Linked DNA regions of Caenorhabditis elegans. The protein of the gene in region 1 interacts with the protein of each later gene in a pairwise test. Each region holds a gene or a part of one and is shown on either strand. Other genes may lie near its edges.

Region 1 (9,875 bases):
AAGTACCTGCCTGTTTAATTGCTCCCAATATCTTATCACCTGTCCATTATCACTATTATCACTGGTCACTATCAACTCCCAACCTTCTTCATCAGTCTGCTCATTTACCCCCACTCTCCCTTTTCTCTTCTTTTCCTGAAAAATTCCTTCTAAATTCTCCAGAAAAGCCATGAACAAGCTGCACAAGGGATGGTTCACCGAGTTCTCGCCGGATGACCTGGAAAAGATGAACGGAGCCTCCGACGAGGAGCCAACGAAGGTGCTCAAATCCGACGGACAAGAGATGGGCGGCGCGTGGCCGGGACAGGCGTTCTCGTTGCAGGTGAAGAAAGTGCTTTTCCACGAGAAGAGCAAGTATCAGGATGTGCTGGTTTTTGAGAGGTATTAAATGTGGTGTAGTCGAATTTTTTATTGCTCTATTAGACACGAAATTGTCTGAAAACACCGAATTTCATAAAGAAACTTCTTGAAATTTTCTCAAAAAAAAGTTATGATAGCTCAAAAAATGGCCTAAAATTAGATAAAATTTTTAATTTAACTTGTCAGCGCTGTCAGCTGGAAACAAATTTTTTTTTGAAATCACCGTCAAATTTTAGGTATACAAGTCATTTATCTTGCATTTTCAACAAGATTTTGGTATTTTAAAGTTGATAAACGGCGCGATTTTTTAATTTTTTAAACCAAATTTTGCCGTCCATCGACTTTAAGACACCTAAATCGAGTTGAAAACGCGAGATAATTACATTGTATACTTAAAATTAGACGGTGATTTCAAAAAAATTAGTTTCCAGCTGACAGCGCTGACAAGTCAAATTTCAAGTTTTAACTAATTTTAGGCCATTTTTTGAGCCGTCATAACTTTTTTTTGGGAAGTTTTCAAGAAGTTTCATTATGAAATTCGGTGTTTTCAGACAATTTTGAGAATAATGAAGCTATTTTAAAAAAATCCAGCACACCGCCTTAGAATTTTCAAAATTAATTACGGAATTCAAATTTTTTTCAGCACAACCTATGGAAATGTTCTAGTTCTAGACGGAATTGTTCAGGCAACTGAACGGGATGAGTTCTCCTACCAGGAAATGCTGGCCCATCTCCCAATGTTTGCCCATCCGGACCCGAAACGTGTAAGCTCGCTAGAAATGACATTTCTGGCTTGGAAAACTCCCTTTTTCGAGAAATTTTGATTTAAAAATCGCTAAAACCTCAAGATTTTCACTGAAATCGCCGCATTTCAGGTACTTATCATTGGTGGAGGAGATGGAGGTATTTTGAGAGAGGTCTTGAAGCACGAGTCCGTCGAGAAGGTCACAATGTGTGAAATAGACGAAATGGTGATCGATGTCGCGAAAAAGTATGATTTTTAAAAACACGGGGTTCTGGCCTTCCTCATTGAATTTTTCGCGCTCCATTGACAATCGCCTGCCGGACAACGCGTGGGAAAGTCGTGTACTTCACACGGACAAATACATTCATTTTTACAACTAAAATCGAGCCGCGACGCGACACGCAACGCGCCGTAAATCTACCCCAGATATGGCCGAGCAAAAATGCCTGGTTCGGCCTAAACTCTTCCATTTCAATTTATGAGGGAAGCCAGAAATCCGTGTTTTTCAACAAAAATTGGTTGAATTAACTTAATTCTAAAAAAAAATTTTAAATCTTTTAAAGGTTCCTGCCTGGCATGTCGTGCGGTTTCTCACACCCGAAACTCGACTTATTCTGCGGAGATGGCTTCGAATTTTTGAAAAATCACAAGAACGAGTTCGACGTAATTATCACGGACAGTTCCGATCCAGTTGGGCCGGCTGAATCGCTTTTCGGGCAAAGTTATTACGAGTTGCTGAGAGATGCGTTGAAGGAGGATGGAATTTTGTCATCGCAAGGTGGGAAATAACAAAAAAATCACTTAAAAATGAAGAAAATCGATAAAAAACTTAAGAAAACTTGAAGAAAACTATTTTAAATTAAAGAAGAGCAAACAAAAGTCAATAAGTTACAGCAAGTCATTAAAGGCGCATAGGCGGAAATATGCCAAGGGTCTCGCCGCGAAAATCAATTTATGGAGTTTTAACTTGATTTTGATTAAATTTTGAAGGTTTTAGCAAAGAAAAATATGTTTTGGGATTAGTTTAATAAATTACACTAAAAAATAAATTTGGAAACCAAGAAAAAAACAGTGGAAACTAAAAAAAATTAAAAATTATTGTTACTGTAGGCTATTAAAGGATCATAGGCGGCAATATGCAGCGGGTCTCGTCACGAAAACTAATTTATGGAGTTTTCAGCTTAATTTTCATATAATTTTGAAGTTTTTTAAAACAGAAAAATTCAATTTTAGGAGATTATGCTGAATTACATTTTGAAACCAAGAAAATCAGTGTAACGAAAAAAAGAAACTGGTTACTGTAAGACTTTAAAGGCGCATATGCTGAATTCGAAGGAATAAAATTGATTTTGAATTGTTTTTTTCGATTGAAAAACTTGAAAAAAAAATCACGTGACTAAATTTATTTCTTTACTCTAAAGAAATCCTTCTAGGCGAATGCCCATGGCTAGACATGAAGCTCATCTCTACCGTAATCCATTCGGCTCGTGACCTATTTCCCGTGGCAAAGTACGCGGTTGGCAGCGTGCCAACCTACACGTCAGGCCTGATGGGCTATATTTTATGCGCAAAGGATAAGGTGAACACTGGTGTGGTGTGATTTTTACTGTGTTGATTAACCTGATGAATGAAAATGCGCTCCATTGCACAATAACATTTCTGTGGTGATATGGTGTGATTAATATATATGAGTGACGTAACCACTTAAAAATAAATTCCCGCGGTTCCTGGAGGTCAAACGACTATTTCTAACCTGCAAACGCGCTCCATCGAACTCTCATGGTACAACCAACCCCTCTAATTGTAGTGCACCTCTAAAACTGTGTTAGTGAGTGATTTTCAGGAGAATCTGTGTGGCTTCACCTCCCACTAATCGCTCATCTCGTCGCCTTCAATCGAAAAATTTTCCCGGCCGTCACCTACGCCCAGTCGATCGTCTCTACCTACCCGTCTGGAAGCATGGGATACCTGATTTGTGCAAAAAATGCTGTGAGGAGAAGAAAACAACGAGAAAAAAAGAGAAAAATCACAATCTGATCGCGATCACCCCAAAACATTTTGCAAAATTTCGCAATACTTCACAATTTTTTTAAAAGCACGTTCAGTGTGTGGTGTTTGTGATTTTCCTTTTTTTTTAAGTAGCGAAATTTTGCGATTTTCAAGTGAAAAATACGGTACCGGGTCTCACCGCGACAAATTTTCATTAAATGCGAAAAGGTGTGCGCCTTTAAAGATTACTGTAATTTGAAACTTACGTATTTAGTTGCGGATTTTTTTGCTCGATTTTTTGGAAAAAAAATTATTAATATTATTAATTCATTTTTGAAAAATCGCGAGAAAAACTAGGAAAATCTATGAAAAACAACAAAAGTTTTGAACTGCAGTAATCTTTAAAGGCACATTTTCGTATCGAACGAGAACTTGTCGTGTAGAGACCGGGCACCGTAGTTTTGGCGCGAAAATTGCAAAACCTCGCGTTTGGATAATAGCAAAGTCAATTTTTTTTTCAATTTTTTATGTGGATTTTCAGATTTTTTTTTCGGGAATTTTTGTCTGCTTGTGAGAAAAATTTTTCCCGTGGTGCGAGAGTGTCTCATTTCAGAGTGATCTACGTAGATCTGCGAAAAGCGCGGGAGAAGAGACGCTGAGTTCCCAACTGATTTCGTATGATTAAGAACGTGCTGACGTCACATATTTTTGGAGCAAAAAATTCCCGCATTTTGTTTTAGATCAAACCGTAATGGGACAGCCTGACACCACGTGAGGCTACTTTCACTGTCGAATGAAGATCACCAACAAAATTTTCGATATTTTTAAGAACCGTGACGTCACGACTCCTGCTCGAACCCTCACTGCTGAACAGATCAAAGCCCTGAACTTGAGATTCTACAACTCGGAAGTTCACAAGGCGGCTTTTGTGCTTCCGCAATTTGTCAAAAATGCTTTGGAGTAGATGTCAAGAATTTAAAAATATTTAGAATAAAATCTGTTTTCTGTTTTACCTGTTTTCAATAAAAATTAATGTTTTTGAACCGCTCAACAAATTCCAGCTGTCCCAGGAAAAAAAATCAACAAATATTGTGAAATTCATGTTCTTCCTCACTCTAATTTTTGTCCAGGACATTCCCCTCCTTTTTAAGCGTTTTATCAGTTTCAGCACCTCCATATAACCCGTCCCCTCTCCATTTTGATATTAAACTTTTTCAAAAAGTGTACGTTTCGGACACTTTTTATTCGAACTGTTTTATTCAGCTCAAAATGGAGCGCTGCCCGGGGTGCCATTCTACAGCATGCGTTGGCTATTCCGGTGGAGATTGTTTTTACTTCAAGTTGTGCCAGGATTCGTTTCCTCGTCATGCACCGCGTCGTAGATCATCATCATCATCATCTTCTTCTTCTTCTTCTACTTCTTCTTCTTCGTCTTCCAACTCTTCAGAATCAGATGGTGGGTTTTGAACTCTGAGTTGAATTTCAGAGGAGTACCGTGTGTCCTCCAATTGTCCTTTCACGCCTCACTCAGCTGGGAGCCCTAGCGAAAATACGGTATCTGCGTGACAGAATGAATCGTTATTAATAAATTTTGCGACTACGGCACACGATGCCAGGCTGTCATATCACGGCTTGATCTACGAAAAATGCGGGAATTTTTCGCCCAAAAAAAAATGTACACGTTCTTAACCATGCAAAATCAGTTGAAAAGTCTGCGTCTATTCTTCCGCATTTTTCGGAGATCAAACCGAAAAGAACCATTCGTACCTAAAAAATCCAGGCCTGGATCTTTAGGAAGTCATCACAATTGTAATGTTTCCAGACCAAGTCGGCCAGCTGAGCACCCGGTACCAGAACCAGAACCTTAGTGAGTCATCTTCAGAAAGTTCGGTTAGCTCATCGGATGACTCATCTGATGACTCCTCAGATGACTCATGTTCAAATGACTCTTCAATGACTCTTTAGACGATTCAGACGATCAGGAAAACGATTATGAACAAGATGATTATTAACTTAAATTTCGATATTTTGCCATCAATCAAAAAATATACAAGATCATAGTTCAAAAATTTTTATTCATAAAGTTCCTATAACTTTGCCAAATGATTCTCCGACTGTGTGAACCTCTGCAATCGATTCTTGATTTGGTGGAGCTTCCCAAAGTTTGGCCGCATTCCGGTGTTCTGAATTTCAAAATTCTCGTACTTCCAATTAGTAGAACATTTTCAAACAACTCACCGAGTTCTCAAATACTCCAAAATCCGTCAGTGCGGCGAATGCATTTTTGATAGGCTCAGTTGATAGGAATGATAGTCGGATGTTGGGTAAGCGATCTTGATATGCTTCACTAATATTCTGCAATTCAAACGTGGAGTCAGAGTGTCTTATTGCGGTTTGATCTACAAAATACGCGGGAATTTTTCCCCCAGAAAAATGTGACGTCAGCACACTCTTAACCATGCGAAATCAGTTGAAGTCTGCGTGAAGTCTTCTCCCGCCTTTTTCCGAAGATCAAACCAAAATGGGACACTTTAACACCACGCGAATTCAGGAAAATTTAGTTATAACGGAGTCTCGTTCGGCTAGTAACCTCACCTTCTGCACAGTTCCCACCATCTCTGATAAACTGGAAACCATTGGCTTCTTCTCGGAAAACACGTTAAACGCTATCTCAAAATTATAAAAATATGGGAGCACAAGCTTGCTCAACACTTCTGCATTTTTCTCGTCTAGGATTTCGATTTTATTATCATCGGTGAATTGCAAGATTTCAGAAGCTCTCAGAATATCGAGAGTTGCGTCAAATAGTTGGGGAAGCTCTCCGGGAACCGTCACAAACTCTCGTTTCATTAGGAAATGGAGCCAGCTGAAAGTTGGTAACTATTATTAGTAACACGTGGTGCCAGGTTGTCCCATAACAGTTTGATCTACAAAAAATGCGGGAATTTTTTCCCCGAAAAATGTGACGTCAGCGCATTCCTAACCATGCGAAATCAGTTGAGAACTCTGCGTCTAAAATCCCGCATTTTTGGTAGATCACAACGAAATGGGACATTCTGACACCACGTGTAGTAGGGTATGTCCTATAATTGCTCACCAAAACTCTTCCTTCACCTTCGCCACGTCCGTTATTCCAGAATTTCTCAAGATTGTGCAAATGATGCCCTCACTGTCCACAGCATGTACCATCTGGAAATTGGAAATTAACAAATTTCAGAGAGCTCTAGCTCACCCCATTCGAATAGGTTGTCAAAATGAGCCGGCTCACTGCTCTCTCCATAATTTTGATAGGAACATCCTGCTTCTGATGAGCCACCGGAAAAGCGATAAATTTCAGCTGAAAATCGGGAGCGGAGCCTTCAAATGGCTCGAATAAATCTGCGTGCATTGTTAGGTAGTAGCTGAAACATTTAATTTTCAAAAGAGTCTTCAAATTTACTTGGCGAAAATTGCTGAATAAAATTTCCTGCATTTTCACGTGTTGTCAGGCTGTCCCACTGTTTGATCTACAAAAAATGCGGGTTTTTTTCCGCCCAAAAAATGTGACGTCAGCACGTTCTTAACCATTCAGAATCAGTTGAGAACGCTGCGTCTCAACTCCCGCATTTTTTGTAGATCTACGTAGATCAAACCGAAATGGGACACTCTGACACCACGTGCATTTTTCAAACTCCATCTTGAAGTTCACGAGAAAAAGGAAACTGATACCGTAAATTTTTGTCCAAATTTCCCTGAATGTTAACAACTGTGCCAAGATGATTTTGCAAAATGATAAGATTATTAACATCCGTATACAATCCGCAGTATGTGATAATCGCCTGATCATCCCTATCAAAAGTCTGCAAGAATGCCCTTACGAATGTCGAGAAATCTCGGCTCACCTGTAAAATAGCCATACACGCCACACTCCAGACCGTAATCACCGCATTCTGATTGTGAATTCCCACGACTCGATGCGCGAACCTTTTGATCTCCAGCTTCGCCTGCGCGTCGAGCACAAATTGTGAGTCTGGCTGACAGACAAACGTATTCCGGTGAAGGCTGACACCGAAATGGTCTCGGACGGAAATTGGCTCTCCGAATGTTAAGAAGCAACTTCCATGTGTGATCTTCAACATTTCCCGGGCTTTCAGTAGAGCTCCAGTTGACTCTTTTGGTTTCGGAAAGCCCAGAAGCTCATAAGCATAGAGCTTTTCCTCGAGGATTTTGTCATAGTTCATCGAAACCGGCACAATGACAATATCGTAGACGGAGCCACGTAGATATGGCTCCAGCACCATTTGGAGCATTCCATATTTGGGATGAAGAGATTTTCCAACACGGGAACGGGTGGCTTCCACGAAAAATTCGACGGTTCTGTCGTTATTGACAACGTGGGTTTGCACATACTCGGAGAAGACAGCCCAGTAGAGTTGGTCCTGGAAAATTGAAAAAAAAGCGTCCTGTCTAGATCGTACCCTTGATTTTTTTCTGCCAACTTTTCAGCTGAGTCAGCGCGGTCTACATATTTTTCGCGTGGTGATCTACGAGAATTGCGGGAATTTTGACGCGTCTAGACGCAGGTTTCTTAAGTGATCTTGCGTGGTCACATGTTTCTGGACGACAAAAAATTCCCGTATTTTTTGTAGATCAAACCGTAATTGGACAGCATAACATCACGTAGTACGGTTGTTCCTACAGTAGATTTTGTTCCGATTATACGACATTTAAAGGAGGACGCATTCATACAAAATGGTCCCGCCACGCGCCTCCTATTGATTTTTGGGGCGCGTGGCGGGACCATTTCGTATAAACGTGCCCTCCCACGTGGTGTCAGAGTGCTTCATTTCGGCTTGATCTACGTAGATCTGCGAAAAGCGCGGGAGAAGAGACGCTGAGTTCCCAACTGATTTCGTATGATTAAGAACGTGCTGACGTCACATATTTTTGGAGCAAAAAATTCCCGCATTTTTTTTAGATCAAACCGTGATGGGACAGTTGAGCAGCATGCGTCCTCCTTTGAAGTCGGAGAAATGGGAAAAATGCACTGTAGGAACGGCTGTATCATGTGGTGTGAAGCTGTCCAATTACGGTTTGATCTACAAAAAATGCGGGAATTTTTCGCGCAGAAAAATGAGACGTCAGCGCGCTATGTAAATTTGAAATCAGTTGAGAAGTCTGCGTCTAAAATCCTGCGATATTCGTAGATCAAACCAAAATGGGACACTGTGATGTCAGGTGTTATTTTGGTATTAAACTAGAAAATGGGTCAAAAAGTCACAGGTTTTTTTTTCCTTTTTTTCCGACCTTCACAATTTCAAAATTTATACATCTCACCGTCCCAAACGATCGTCTCATAAAAAATGCGCCAGACCGTCGCAACACGCCAGCCATAAACTTCATGCTCATAAAGTCCTGTCCCGCGGCAATCGCCGGCAATTGAATGTCCTGAAAACCGTCAAACCACAATATTTGCAGCCCAAAAGCGTGACCTTACATATTGAAAGCAGATGAGTGACAGGAGCAGGAAATCAAAGTACGTCTTGTGTGATGGCATAAAAATCACACAGTCCTTCTTACTGCGTTCTCGGATCTCCAGAAGCTTCTTCTCGTTTACATAAATCCCATCGTAAAGCTTCTCCATAGCCTTGCAAACTGCGTAGCCAAATGATCGGACATTATATAAATTAAAGGTATGGGACATCTCATCCAGGATCTCCTCTGCCTCCTTTCGAACTAGATCCGGACTGCATTTTCGACGAAGGGTCTCCTCGCTGATGACGCTCTGAAAGTTAAAACCTTTTACCTTTTTTGTGCAAAAAAAAAAGGATTCCGTCCGGTTGTAGTCTTGGAATTAACTCAAGTTTACTCTAGAACAACCGTAAACTAAAGTTCGAGAAATTGATAAAAAGTAGAGATTGATAAGAAACATCGTGGTTTCCGCATTTCAGAAGAAACTGTGTAGTTTTAGAAAAGGATTGGGCACGCGGTCAGGTATACCTAGCATGCCTAGCACCTGAAAAATGTTCAGGAGTAGGCAAAAAGTAGGTCGAGTAGGCAGAAAGTAGGTCTTGTAAACCTTATTAATGTTTTTTTCAGATTTTGGAAACATTTATGAATTTATATTCTTTGTCTATTCTTACTGCCCACAATCTTTATAAATCCGCTAGGCACGGGGTCCTGGCCTTCCTCATTGAATTTTTCGCGCTCCATTGACAATCGCCCGTCGGACAACACGTAGCAAAGTCGTGTACTCCACACGGACAAATACATTCAGTTTTACAACTAACTTCGAGCCGCGACGCGACGCGCAACGCGCCGTAAATCTACGCCAGATATGGCCGAGCCAAAATGGCCTAGTTCGGCCTAAACTCTTCCATTTCAATTTATGAGGAAAGCCAGAAGTCCGTGGCTAGGAAGCCAAGAAATAGGCGTGCACTCACCTTAACCCTCGGAGATTCCAACACGGATTTTCGAATTTCCGCTAGACTTCTCGTTTTTGGCGCGGTACCAACTTTCGAGCCAACCGGAAAATTTTTTGTGGCAGTCACGAATTTGAATGGGCCGCCCTTGTTTTTCAGGTGCTCCAGAAAGTTCTCGTATTCTGGATAGTTGATTTGACGACCCGTTTGGGAAGCAGAAGTCATGTCTTCTGGAAATTGGAACAAAATTTGAAATTTTCATGAAAACAACAGTTAAGTTTACATCATAAAAATTAATAAAAAAGCTGAAAATGTAGTTAAAAAAGTTTTTTTTTTGACACAAGTGTGTTAAAAAATTTAAATGTCCAAACTTTGGCTCA
Region 2 (12,038 bases), on another chromosome or scaffold:
AAAAGTTATGATGCTCTAATCATATTGATCTTACCGTTTTTCCTGTTCCATTTGGTCCACTGATTAGTGTGCACGGAGAGAGGAAATCAATTTTGTGAACATCGTGGTCCTCATCACCGACACTTCGAATTCCTCTGATGTGTAGCTGAAATTTTCATAAATTTAGTATTTTCAGAGTAAAAATAAATTTGCAGACTTACGCGTAAAAATTTCGCCATAAGCAATTCCCAGGCTTCGATAAGCAAATATCTGAAACATTCTCATTTGCAAATAGGTTTATTCAAAGAAAAATGTTGCGAAATTAAATTAATATATTGATTCCGTTGGAAACTCTGGAAAAAGGACTAAGTAAAGTGAAATTCCTGAGTATTTTCAATTAATTCCTGTGTAAAGTGGGCCTTCTGCGTATTTTTAATTAATTTTTGCGTAAAGTTAAACTCTTGCATGAAGTAAAAAAACAGAAAAAAAACAATTTCGAAAACTGACAAAAAAACAGTTTCCGATTCAAAAATAGAGCGCAAAAACAAAATACGATGCTCCGAAGTTCCGCAAGCGCGTGTTGTTTAACCGAAAGAAGATTTCGATTTTTTCTTTTCCCTCTGCTTTTGATTTTGAGCTTCATATTAATTTCTTCATTCTGAAAATCACGAAAACTCGGTAAAAGCTTCCTGTTTATTTTAATTTTTGGCAATCATGAAATTTTTTTTCAAATTCTCACATGGTTAAAAAACATCAGTCAAACGATTGATAAGATATTTTCCGAACAACTGATAAACTCGTATTCTAGAAATCGTACAAACGGTTTTATTGTTGTTTATTTTGAACTGAACGTTTTTGTCTAAGGAAATGCATCATATTGCGTCACATCGAATGTTGTTCTTAAGAGTAAGGAAATATTTCGCAATTTTCTGCAACATTCTTTAACGGCTGTGTTCGGTCATTTTACTTGTATTTAGGGCTACTAACAGCCCCACTTGTATTATTATTATGATTTTACCTTTCGTTCCAGAAGGCTGAAATTTTAGAAATTCTGAGTAAGACTAACTTTTATGTTTTATTCCAATATATTTACTGTTTAAAAGTATCCTCCATTGTCACCTGGTATTTAGAATGATTATTAACCTGTCGAATGCACCTTCAAAGATCTCAATGCCCACCTACGTGTGAAAACACTTACTTCCTTCTCATTTCCGTCCGATCGTAATCAAAAAGAAACAGGTTTTCCTCTCTCTCATCATCTGTCTTCCAAGCTTCAACTTCAACCTTCCTTCAGTATCTTCTTATTCTTCCAGCTGTCCACTGCCAATCAGTAGGTTCATATTCCCGTAAAAAATCGCCATTTTGTCTGGTTTCTTTTGATTTGAACGCTTCTTTTCATCTCATTCCTCTCTTATTCTCTCATGTATTTGCTCAATCATTCAGCATGCTCACTGTGAAGCTTGTGTGTGCATAATTTCTTTTCATAGAATCGAGCGACGTGGAAATCGATATTTCTCACTGTTCCTTTTTTCAATATTGACAAATTTCCAGTTCAAAAGTCAACTTAACTTGTTGTTATGTTCCTCTCCGATTTTTTCTGTCTTATTTTCTTCTTTCGAAAACAACAGCGGCTCCCCTTTCCCACTTTTTTCTCTTCATACGTCAATTCTCTAAGTTCTCATATTTCTCTACAATCTCTACATGTTGACCGAACCAGTTAACAACTGACTTTTCAAAACCTCTCGAAACACGACATTTTTTTCTCAAGTACCCGAACCTCTCTCCCTATGATTAAAATTTGATGTTCCAGAATCGGAGAATCGAATGATAGATCGAATACGGCGTGAGCAGTAGTTATCCAACTGATTATCTCATTTCATAAAATAATAAACAACTCAATCTCACTATGGATTTTATGATTTCACATTTCTGCGATGAGCAGAATCATCAGCCACTTTACAAAACTAGGTGAGTACGATAAATATTGTGTGGTTAACATTTGAAAATTTTATTTCTAAAATCAAAATTCATTTATTTAAATTCCTTATAAAAAATAAATCAATTCTAAAACATTGATATAAAATCAATTCAATTTATTTAATGTCGCCAAATCATTTAAGGTAGTATATTATATTATTTTTTACAGACGACAATCAATATCGGACTCTAAAAATGGACCAACACTTCTCAGCTCTTCACTGCCAACTAACGATGAATGTTCCGACTCCGACACCGAAAACCGATTGCCACCTGAAACGGAGCTTGGAAATATTGAGTACAAAGCAAAATTAGTAAATCCAACGACATCTCGTATACAACATCTGATCACTCAAATGAAATGGCGTCTTCGTGAGGGTCAAGGAGAGGCTATTTATGAAATTGGCGTTGAGGATGGTGGAATAATGTCTGGATTAACAGACGAGGAACTGAATGATTCACTTCGGACCTTGAGAACGATGGCCCAAGCTCTTGGGGCGAGTATGGTTATTTTGACCGAGAAAGACGTTACTGTTAAGGGATCAAATTCACGGAGAACTGTAGTCGAGGTAATTATTATTGAGTCATATTTTATCTAAATGAAATTATTTTTCTAGGTACTTGTCCGAAAGGTTCCTGAAAGCCAGCAATTCATCGAAGTTCGTCTTGCTGTCGTTGGAGGATGCGATGTCGGAAAATCAACACTGTGTGGAGTGTTAACACAGGGTTGTCTGGACGACGGAAACGGAAAAGCAAGAATTGGAATATTCAGATTTCCACACGAAGTGCGAACAGGAAAAACCAGTTCTGTCTGTAATGATGTCATTGGCTTCGATAATCGTGGAAAGGTTAGAAATTTTTCGAAACATTCAGAATGGGTTAAAATATGCTTGAAAATATTTAAAAAAAAAAACAGTAAACTGATTAAATTGTAGATAATTTCTTTATTGAAAATTTTAAAGTTGGATCCTATTTATTAGGGTTTTTGATTTAAATAATTAAAAAAATGGACGGTAATACCGAATATAATTGTTTCAAAAAATCATAAAATTTTTATAATTTTTTCAATTTTGCAAAAATAAAAAAATAAAAATCTGTTTTTGAATTCCCGCCCAATTATCAAAAATAAAAATTTAAAAAGTTAGAAAGATTTTATAACTTTTAAAATCAATTAAAATCGATTATTACGGTCAATTTTTTTTTCATTCAAAACAAAATTTCAAAATGATTCTACTCCACTTTTGAATACAAAAACAATGAATTTAGAAAAATTTTATTTGAAAAACTTAAATTCGATTTTTTTAAATTTATTTATAAATATCTAATTTTTACTTTTTTCAGCTAGTCAATTATGCACAAAATAGTCTCGAAGAAATGGTGGAGAAGTCTTCAAAACTTGTAACACTTATCGATCTGGCTGGAGACGCAAAATATCAGAAAACGACAATTCATGGATTAACCGGATACACTCCTCATTTCGCTTGCCTTGTTGTAGCCGCCGATCGAGGAATCACGTGGGCCACTCGTGAACATCTTGGATTAATTGCCGCTTTAAACATTCCAATGTTTGTACTGATCACAAAAATGGATCTAGTCGATCGACAAGGACTTAAGAAAATCATCAAAGATGTTTCCAATCTTGTTGCGAAAGCAGGGATGACAGCTCGCGAGAAAAGAGTGAAAACTAAAAGAGACGCAGTGAAGGCGGCACAAGAACTCTGCGTTGGTAGTATCGTACCAGTTCTTGCTGTTAGTTCAGTGAGCGGAGAAGGTTTTCGTTGTCTCAGAACACTTCTCAATTGCCTTTCTACAGCTGGAACTGCAGAGTCACGTATTCAACTAGTTGGACTCCCAGCCTTTTTCACAATCGAGGAACTATATAATGTGCCTCATGTTGGACAAGTAGTTGGAGGAATGCTATCTGAAGGACAATTGCATGAAGGAGCAGATGTTCTTGTTGGACCCATGAAAGATGGAACTTTTGAAAAAATTACTGTCGGGTCGATTCGAAGAAGCCGGCAAGCCGTAGGATGTGTTAATCCTGGTGAAGCTGCATCGATATCCTTGAATCTTCCAGACGGTGTCAGTCTAAGAAGGGTAAGTATTTTTTTCCACAGAAAAATCATTCGAAATGTGAAACATATTGATTATTTTCATTAAAGGGAATGGTTCTTGCTGAAATCGATCATCAACCACCAGTTTGTTACGAATTCACTGCCAATCTTTTACTGCTGTGTCACTCGACGAAATACATATGCGAAGGATTTCAAGCCACAGGTGAGTACTTTTTCTCATTTCAACTTTCAGTTTTGATTTTTTCTGAAATAATTTATGAACTTTTTCAGTGTTTATCGGAAGTGTCTGTACAACTGCCATTATTACTCACATCGACGATGCAGACTGCATCCGTCCAGGAAAATGGGCTGTAGTTAAAATGTGTTTCGCCTATCAACCAGAAGTCATTCGTGAAGGATCACCAATTATTCTTCGTCAAGGAAAAACCAAAGGAATGGGAGAAGTATTAAAAGTATTTCCGTGCACCCAATGATAATTGTTAGTCTGAAAATCTCTAAATTTTACTGCCACCCCCCCCCCCCCCTCCCAATTATCTTGTATATTTTGTGTAGACCTCTTTTTTGTAGTCTTTTTTCACTCTCTCTCTCTTTGCCCTCTCCTCCTAGGTACCCGTGTGTTTACATTTTGCTCCGGGTTGATAATAGTTGTACATAGTTGAAATTGTACAATTCTGAATATTTGTTCACTAAGTGAACCTTTTTGTCTCCAAAAATACTCTAGATCCTCTTTTTTCTCTTCTTCCAGGTGCCCCCACTCATTCTATTCATTTTTTGTAGCATTTTTTGCGCTACTGCTTTTTTAGTTACAATTTTAAAAATGAACTGAATTCACTCTTCCTAGATGTCCCATTTCAATTATTCTAGAAACAAATTTATTAGGAAGTACACATTCAATGGATACAATCAGTGGTTTCTCCACTGAACTGATTAGCTAAGTTCAAAGTTCCAATATCATAATTATCAGTCGAGCTACTTCCAGATGCAACTGCATAATCAGGAATATTGATTGTCACTTTCTTTGAACATGGTCCATTGTAATTACAACTATGATATATATTCACTTTTGGATCCAATGTTAAAATATCTGTATATGTTCCAGAAACAGAAAATGTTCCATCAGATGAGGTGGTCGTCGAACCTAATTTCGAGTCATATACTGAAAAAATCAATTGTTTCAAAACAGTTCTTCCAAATAATAACTTACTCGTTCCATCGTCATACATCTTCACGAGAACTCCACTGGCTGGCTGTCCTTCACAAACCAATTTTCCCGTTACAGTAACACTTTGAGTGCTTCCGATAACATTGAGTAAAGCATCGGAGCAATGAATCAAAAAGAAAACAGAAAGAGCAATATATGTAATTGAAAACATTGTGAACACAAAATTCAGAGTGATTCTTGTAAGACATTTATATACTGTCTACAAGAAGTAAATAGAAACACAGTTCGAGTAAATATAGTCGTTACAAATTGTTACTTTGCTCACTGACTCAATAATTGTCACTTAAAATGAAATCATAGATCAACGACAAAGGATATAATTGGTTCTTTTTAGATAATTCTATTGTAAATATCAACTTTGTTCAACGACTAAAAGTCCATTTTAAATTTGGTGAAACGCCAATAGTAAAAACTTTTAAAATCACTATATGATGCTCACAACGGTAGAAATGACTCAGTTTTCACATTTCATAGTTTTGAAGGTTGACCAAAAAACTTTTAACTTGGATTACATTAAATTAATTTGTAATTGATTTGTAGGGTTTCGAACATACAAGAATGCTTAATGTGATAAAGTTTAAACTAACTTTAAGAACATACTGAAAATTACAAAAAGTGTGAAACATGCTAGTGATTAAAAAATAAATATTCAGTATTTTTGGTTCATTTGTATACTTGACGGAACTGACCACATGGTGTCAGAGTGTCCCATATCGGTACAATCTACAAAAAATTCTTAAATTTAGACGCAGACTTCTCAGCAGATTCCGCATGGTTGAGAGCATGTTTATGCTCGAGAAATTCCTGATTTCTCGTAGATCAACCCGTAATGGGACAGCCTGACACCACGTGACTGAATCTACCACACCTTTACACCAAGACTACTACGACAAAATACTATTAAGGAAAATATTTTTTGCTCAATAGTTTCCTGATCTGAAGCTATGTTTTTGACTTTGTCCACTGAATGCAAAATTATATTCTAGAAAATAGTTCAAATTAATTGAAGTGGATCTACGAACCTCTAAACTCTAGAAAAATAGGAAGGAGGAATTTATATCGTAAATTAGTGTATAAGGTAGAAAAAGTTCAGGACTCGAAAAAACATAATATTTTTGAATTGAATCGTAGTTGCAAATCACGTATATATTAGCAGACTATGGAAGAAATTGGGGTTTTATCAAAAAAACAAGATACAATTGAAAGCGATTCTACAAATGGTCCGGAATATAAAGTTATAATGCCCCAAATAAAAATCGAACCATCAATTCTCGATATGCAACGCTTTCATCACAGTTGATCTATAATTCCGTGACATTGAAAAATTGATTAAACAATGTGCAGCCGCATTGAAACAGAAAAATGTATCAACCCAAACATCGCCATACAAGAGAACCATGTGGAGAATTGTATTAAATTGTGGATTAATGAATATCCAGATAAATTCAAATGCACCACCAGGAAGACTTGAAATTGTGTAGAAGATTGTCATGCACATTATCATCCTTCCCGACCGATATCTTGAAATTGAATTTAATAGTTAAGTTAATAATCAAATCAGCTGGCATACCGTTCTATTGCATCTTGTCTACTGAGTGTCACTGATGCGAAGCGTGCAGATTTAATGATTTCAAACATTAAAAGTGCACCAAAAATTGGATAAACAATTGTGATGATCATCTGAAACCAAAAAATGAGTTTATGTTTTTGTATTAATAAATCTAGTAAAAATACTTCGAAGTTTGAAAAATAATCATTCAAACAATTCCAATACGATTCAAAAAAAAAAACGGAACTATTCTAAAATTGCGGGCAATAAAATTACATTAATTTTGAGTTGTTCCAAATTCTAATAATCTCAGATTTCCAATCGCATACTTGTCAGATCAAATTGCTACTCGGAAGTTTAGCTATATCCTAGAAAGCGTAAAGCAAAATCCAAAAAAAAATTTTAAAGTCTTCCTACCCGAAAACTCCCAGTTGTGTATCGATAATTGTCTATCGAAATAATAGGATGTTCTCCAATCTGGTGATCGTAAAACATATTAGTGAAGTTTTCTGGTACTCCCGTGCAACTGAAAGATAAACGTTACTTCAAGGTTCTTTGTAAAATGAATCTTTCTCACTTTTCATCCCATGGTGCACCAATCAAATCATATCCTGTATAATAGATACCAGAAGGAAGGGAACTGATCAGAATTACACCGACTACCAATAAATATCCAAATGAGTTACTTGACAAAGTCGGAGCATCACCAGAAAGTTTCATGAGAATAAATCGGATTAATGCTAAAAATAATCCCAAGGAAAAAGAAGATTTTTCAAAAGTATCCTTCAAAAAGTCTTTAACAAGAAAATAAATATTGACGTAATAAGAACTATTGAACACGCATGGATCAAGAAAATACCAATCTAGTTCAATTCTATCATTTAGTTTCCCAAATGCAAAAACAAGTCAGAAATTGCGATGCCAATTAATAAACAATTTGTACTTGATGTTCTTATTGAGCTTCTCGTTAAAATAAAAATATGTGGAATAGTCAAAACTAATGATATTATTGATAATATTAGTTGGGCTTTTAGAAAATAATCAGAGAGAAGAATAATTGAATACAATGTGTCTATGTCTAACTCATCGTTCATTTTTTTCAAATGAAAACCAAAGGAAAAGTGAGAGTTGGCAAAATTTGTTTTAGTGTTTTGTTTGAAAGTGAAAATGTTTTTACCATGAGCTTTATAAACAACTTTCTCGTGATACATATATCTCCCTAACAGCTATAATTACCAATTATAATTATATAGCAGCAATTTTATAGTTTGAGACAAAAAGTAAAGTTTCGGATTGTAAACTCCGCTTTCCAGATAACAATTTCAAAATTTAAGCTTCTGAAAAACTTATATTTGAATAAAATTGTGCTAAAAACGAGAAGTTTAGTTGTGAAAATATGTATGTACATTATTTATCAAAAGTATATTATTTTCTATAGTTTGCAACATTGTTCTGCATCATCCGCTTTTTTTGTGATTGTAAAATCAGCTGGTTTATCCGAGAAGAAAAAAAATGAGGTGAACGTTGCCTGAAATAATTTAAAAATTTATTATTTAGACTAAAATGTTCACCTACCACAAGCAATAGGCCTGAATTAATACAAAACGCAGTTGCCCATTGTGCCCGGCTATTCTCATCGTGAACTGTCAGAGCTACTAATGCTGGAACAAAGAATAATGCAATTGCTTTGCAAAATTGTATTGCAGCAATCACGACGTCCGCATACTGTAATGCCACGTATCTTGCACATTGATAATATCCACCACAGTTTGTAGACATCATACCTAAACATATACCATAGTTTTCAAAAATAATTTCAAAACGAACAGTTAACAGCTGTAACCAAGGTCATAGCCCACCAGCGATGAGCTTCATCAACAAATCCAACGATTCCAAATAGAATAGACACAATACCACATGATATAAAATTGAAAATTAGCATTTTAGTACGAGGACTAATAAATGTAACTTTATCACTAATATACGCAGCGAGTAATTTGAAAGGGATCTGTGCAAAATTGGTTATACTGATAATAAATCCAGTTTGTTCGATTGTAAATTTCAAAACTTGATTGAAATATATTGGAGAGTAGGTTATCAGAAGGATTGACATTGATAAATCCATGAAAGCATTGAACCAGCAACAAATTATTGCCGGATTCTTTATCATTGCAAAGTATGGTATTATTCTGAAGTTTCGGCTGGTTATACGTTTTTGATAAACTAATACCTTTTAGTTTCATAATGTTCAAGTGATTTTCCATCTTGAATATGTTCCAATTCTCGAGTCCCAACAAATCGATGAGTCGCTGGATTATCCGAATAAAAAAACCCATAAAATAAAACAGATAACACTAGCAATCGAGTGTACGTAAAATGAAGATTCCCATCCAAAAGATGTTGTGCAGAACTAAAATATGGGAAACTGAACAATTAGTGAATTAGTTCTTCCCACTTATGCTGCCTTTAGTAAGTAATAAAAATTCAAAACTTTAAATTTTATACTAATTCTAGTGAACCTACCCATCCCGTTAACGAATCCGTAATTGAGGTGGCAAACGGTGAGAATATCGTTAGAGCAGAGACGAAAAATGCGTTCTCGTCAAGCGGAGCCCATTTCATACAAATTATTCCAATAACTGCAAAGTCTGCTGCATAAGAAATTCCTTGAAAAAATCGAATGATTAAAAGTAGATAGAAGTTGGTTGAAGCCATTGTGGGAATTAATACAGTCGATATAAATGAGAGAATTCCAGCCGAGAGAAATGTGAACCTATTGGAATAATGTTAATATGTATTAGAAATTACTTCCAAAAATATTTACCTTGCTCCAAATTTAACATAGCACCAATTATATGGAACAGTTCCTAGTACAGTTCCAATTGCTACCGCCCATATTATTTCTGCTTTTTCATCACTCGAATAGTCATAAATATTGTATTCAGTCTGGAAATAGGCGTTAACTTTTTTTTGATTCAGTAACTTACTCCATTTGGAGATGTCCTAATACCAGATGAGTCATTCTTCATACAAATGAATGTAAAATTTATGACTGTATAGTTCGAAAATATACTCATTAGACAGAAAAATGCAACAAACATAATTAAAAATCGAAATATTGGAATATCTTTTACCATTGTAGGCAATCAGTCAAACCGAATAAAAAAATAAATTCTCAATTACTTCTCCATTCTGAACTATTTGAACTGTTTGATGAAAACCAATGAAACAAGTGATTATAGTCTCTGTTTTCGTTAATTTTGAATTTTGCTTGATAAGGCTGCAACAAAGATCAGGTTGACATATATTTTCAGTAATTTATTTTAACCTGTACTCTATCACTGCCGGCTATAATAAGTTCTTGAATAAAATAATTTTCCCGACAAAACATGAGTATTTCTTTCGAAAATAAAAGTGCAGGCTAATTAGAGATTATTCTGTAATTAACTGCATAATTTGTCACGTGCCATAGTTTTACATTCCACTACGTCATAGTTCTTAAAATACTAATCTCCTGAAAATAGAAGTAGGTGAAGAAAGTTTAATTATCAGTTCTAAAATGACAATTGATCTTTGGAATATGTTCTGAAACTACCGATCATTGAACAGATGCTATTTGAATGATATAGAATTGTATATTTGCAATTTCTGAAACGCGTTCTTAAAGGCACACAGATTAATTCAAAAGGGTCTGGCCGCAAAAAGGTTTATGGTGGCCGATTTTGAGTTTTGTGTGTGATTGCTTTTTCACAATCAGTGTTTTCAGGATTATGTGATGAACTAGATCTTCAAGTTTCGTTACATTTCATATGTTTTCGGAACTCACGAAGTACATATTGGGTATTGTGCTCAAAAAATTCAGCAATCAGCTTCGCTCCGCTGACTTTAGAACCCAAAAAAATAGTATGGCCAAACTGACTGTGTTACGATCATTTCAATTTTTCAATACATATTTAAGATTTCTAAGAGTAAGAAGGTCAAAAACTGTTCTGGAATACATATATATTTTTCAGGTTACAATTAGTCAAAAAGTGCACTGAAATATACGTTTTAATTTCACGAATAACCCAATTAGTTCAATGTATTTTTGGTCAACCAACGTTAAAGTTTGGCTTCCAACCAATTATCATTTCTGATCAACCACAATGTTTTTTCTTTATCTGCAAGTTAATTTTTTATTTTTATCCAGATGTTTGGCATATTTTTCAATTCTTCACTAGCGCCCACTTCTTGCACTTCCGGCGCCCTGAATCTAATGCATCTGTTGCAAGAATTGAAAGACCAATCAACACATTGTTTTCTTCACGAGATACTGAAGAAAATGAATAAAAACAGAGAAAAAGAGCCATGTGATTAGTGACAACTGTTGCTAACAGATACCATAGCTTGGACTTGGTACGTGATGGCAACGTATGGGTCAACAAAAATGATTGCAGAGGGGGTGCAAAACAGTCAAGTCGAGAAAATATGAAAAACAGAAAACAAAGAACAGAAAAATGGGTTTGAGAGTCAGTATAATTTATAAAAGAAAAATTGTACATAGAAATTAACCATTTTTGTAGAAGAAGTTATTTTTCAAGCATCGTTAAAAATTATTCAAAGCACCTTATTTCATATTTAATTTTAAACATGGTTAAATGAACAACACGGTGCGCAATCAGGAAAACTTGAAATCTGAAACTGTTGTTGTGATCTTCTTCGCAACTGTTCAGATAGCACTAGTGTAATGTTAAGAGTGCGCGAATATAATGGAATATAATGGATCACACCTCCTGCCATCAGGTAAACGTCTCTGTTATCACATATTTCCAACTATTAAATTTTTACCTTTTACAGTTTTACATTTTTTTGAAAAAAGTAACTTTTTGTCTTCAAAATCCCTGACGAAAATATCAAATATTTTAATCGAGACTGCAGAGGAACCGATTGATGATTTGGAAAATCCAGCTTTACCTGTGTAAGAACTGAAAAGTTTCATAACCCTAGGGTATTCCCAGTTACATTCCCCACTGGCTAACAATAGCACCCAGTTTTTCATCACCTTTCTTCAAATTTCTCGGCGATTTGTTAAAAACAAAATTTGTGTCCCTTCTCTGATATCTCTATGTCTCTAAACACAAGTTCATCGGAAAACGAAGGAGGGTAGGTGTTGGTTGGGCTCCCGAAGTGAAAATAGAAGAGCAAGAATAGAATATTAGAGAGAGAGTGCAGAGAGGGCGGGATAGCTCCCGGGATT

What was found.
Region 2: the proteins of Y46G5A.20 (region 1) and slfl-5 interact in a two-hybrid assay, tested with the Caenorhabditis elegans proteins (2 studies listed by BioGRID).

The regions. Positions count from the first base shown.
Region 1 is NC_003280.10:12,806,738-12,816,612, forward strand, and holds Y46G5A.20 (Nuclear receptor domain-containing protein), read left to right. Parts: upstream 1-4,271; 5' UTR 4,272-4,363; coding exon 4,364-4,550; intron 4,551-4,916; coding exon 4,917-5,059; 3' UTR 5,060-5,181; downstream 5,182-9,875. Other genes in the region: spds-1 (PABS domain-containing protein), read left to right, coding at 170-381, 1,004-1,124, 1,236-1,351, 1,669-1,883, 2,539-2,694, 2,949-3,094, 3,924-4,058; acl-7 (Phospholipid/glycerol acyltransferase domain-containing protein), read right to left, coding at 5,182-5,277, 5,333-5,449, 5,690-5,960, 6,192-6,283, 6,327-6,495, 6,803-6,933, 6,976-7,512, 8,411-8,521 and 2 more.
Region 2 is NC_003283.11:12,234,796-12,246,833, reverse strand, and holds slfl-5 (Tr-type G domain-containing protein), read left to right. Parts: upstream 1-1,789; 5' UTR 1,790-1,803; coding exon of another isoform or gene 1,804-1,833; 5' UTR 1,834-1,885; coding exon 1,886-1,947; intron 1,948-2,125; coding exon 2,126-2,525; intron 2,526-2,573; coding exon 2,574-2,804; intron 2,805-3,297; coding exon 3,298-4,053; intron 4,054-4,118; coding exon 4,119-4,233; intron 4,234-4,301; coding exon 4,302-4,504; 3' UTR 4,505-4,863; downstream 4,864-12,038. Other genes in the region: rad-50 (Zinc-hook domain-containing protein), read right to left, coding at 35-145, 201-249, 1,178-1,188; ttr-22 (Transthyretin-like family protein), read right to left, coding at 4,922-5,187, 5,236-5,404.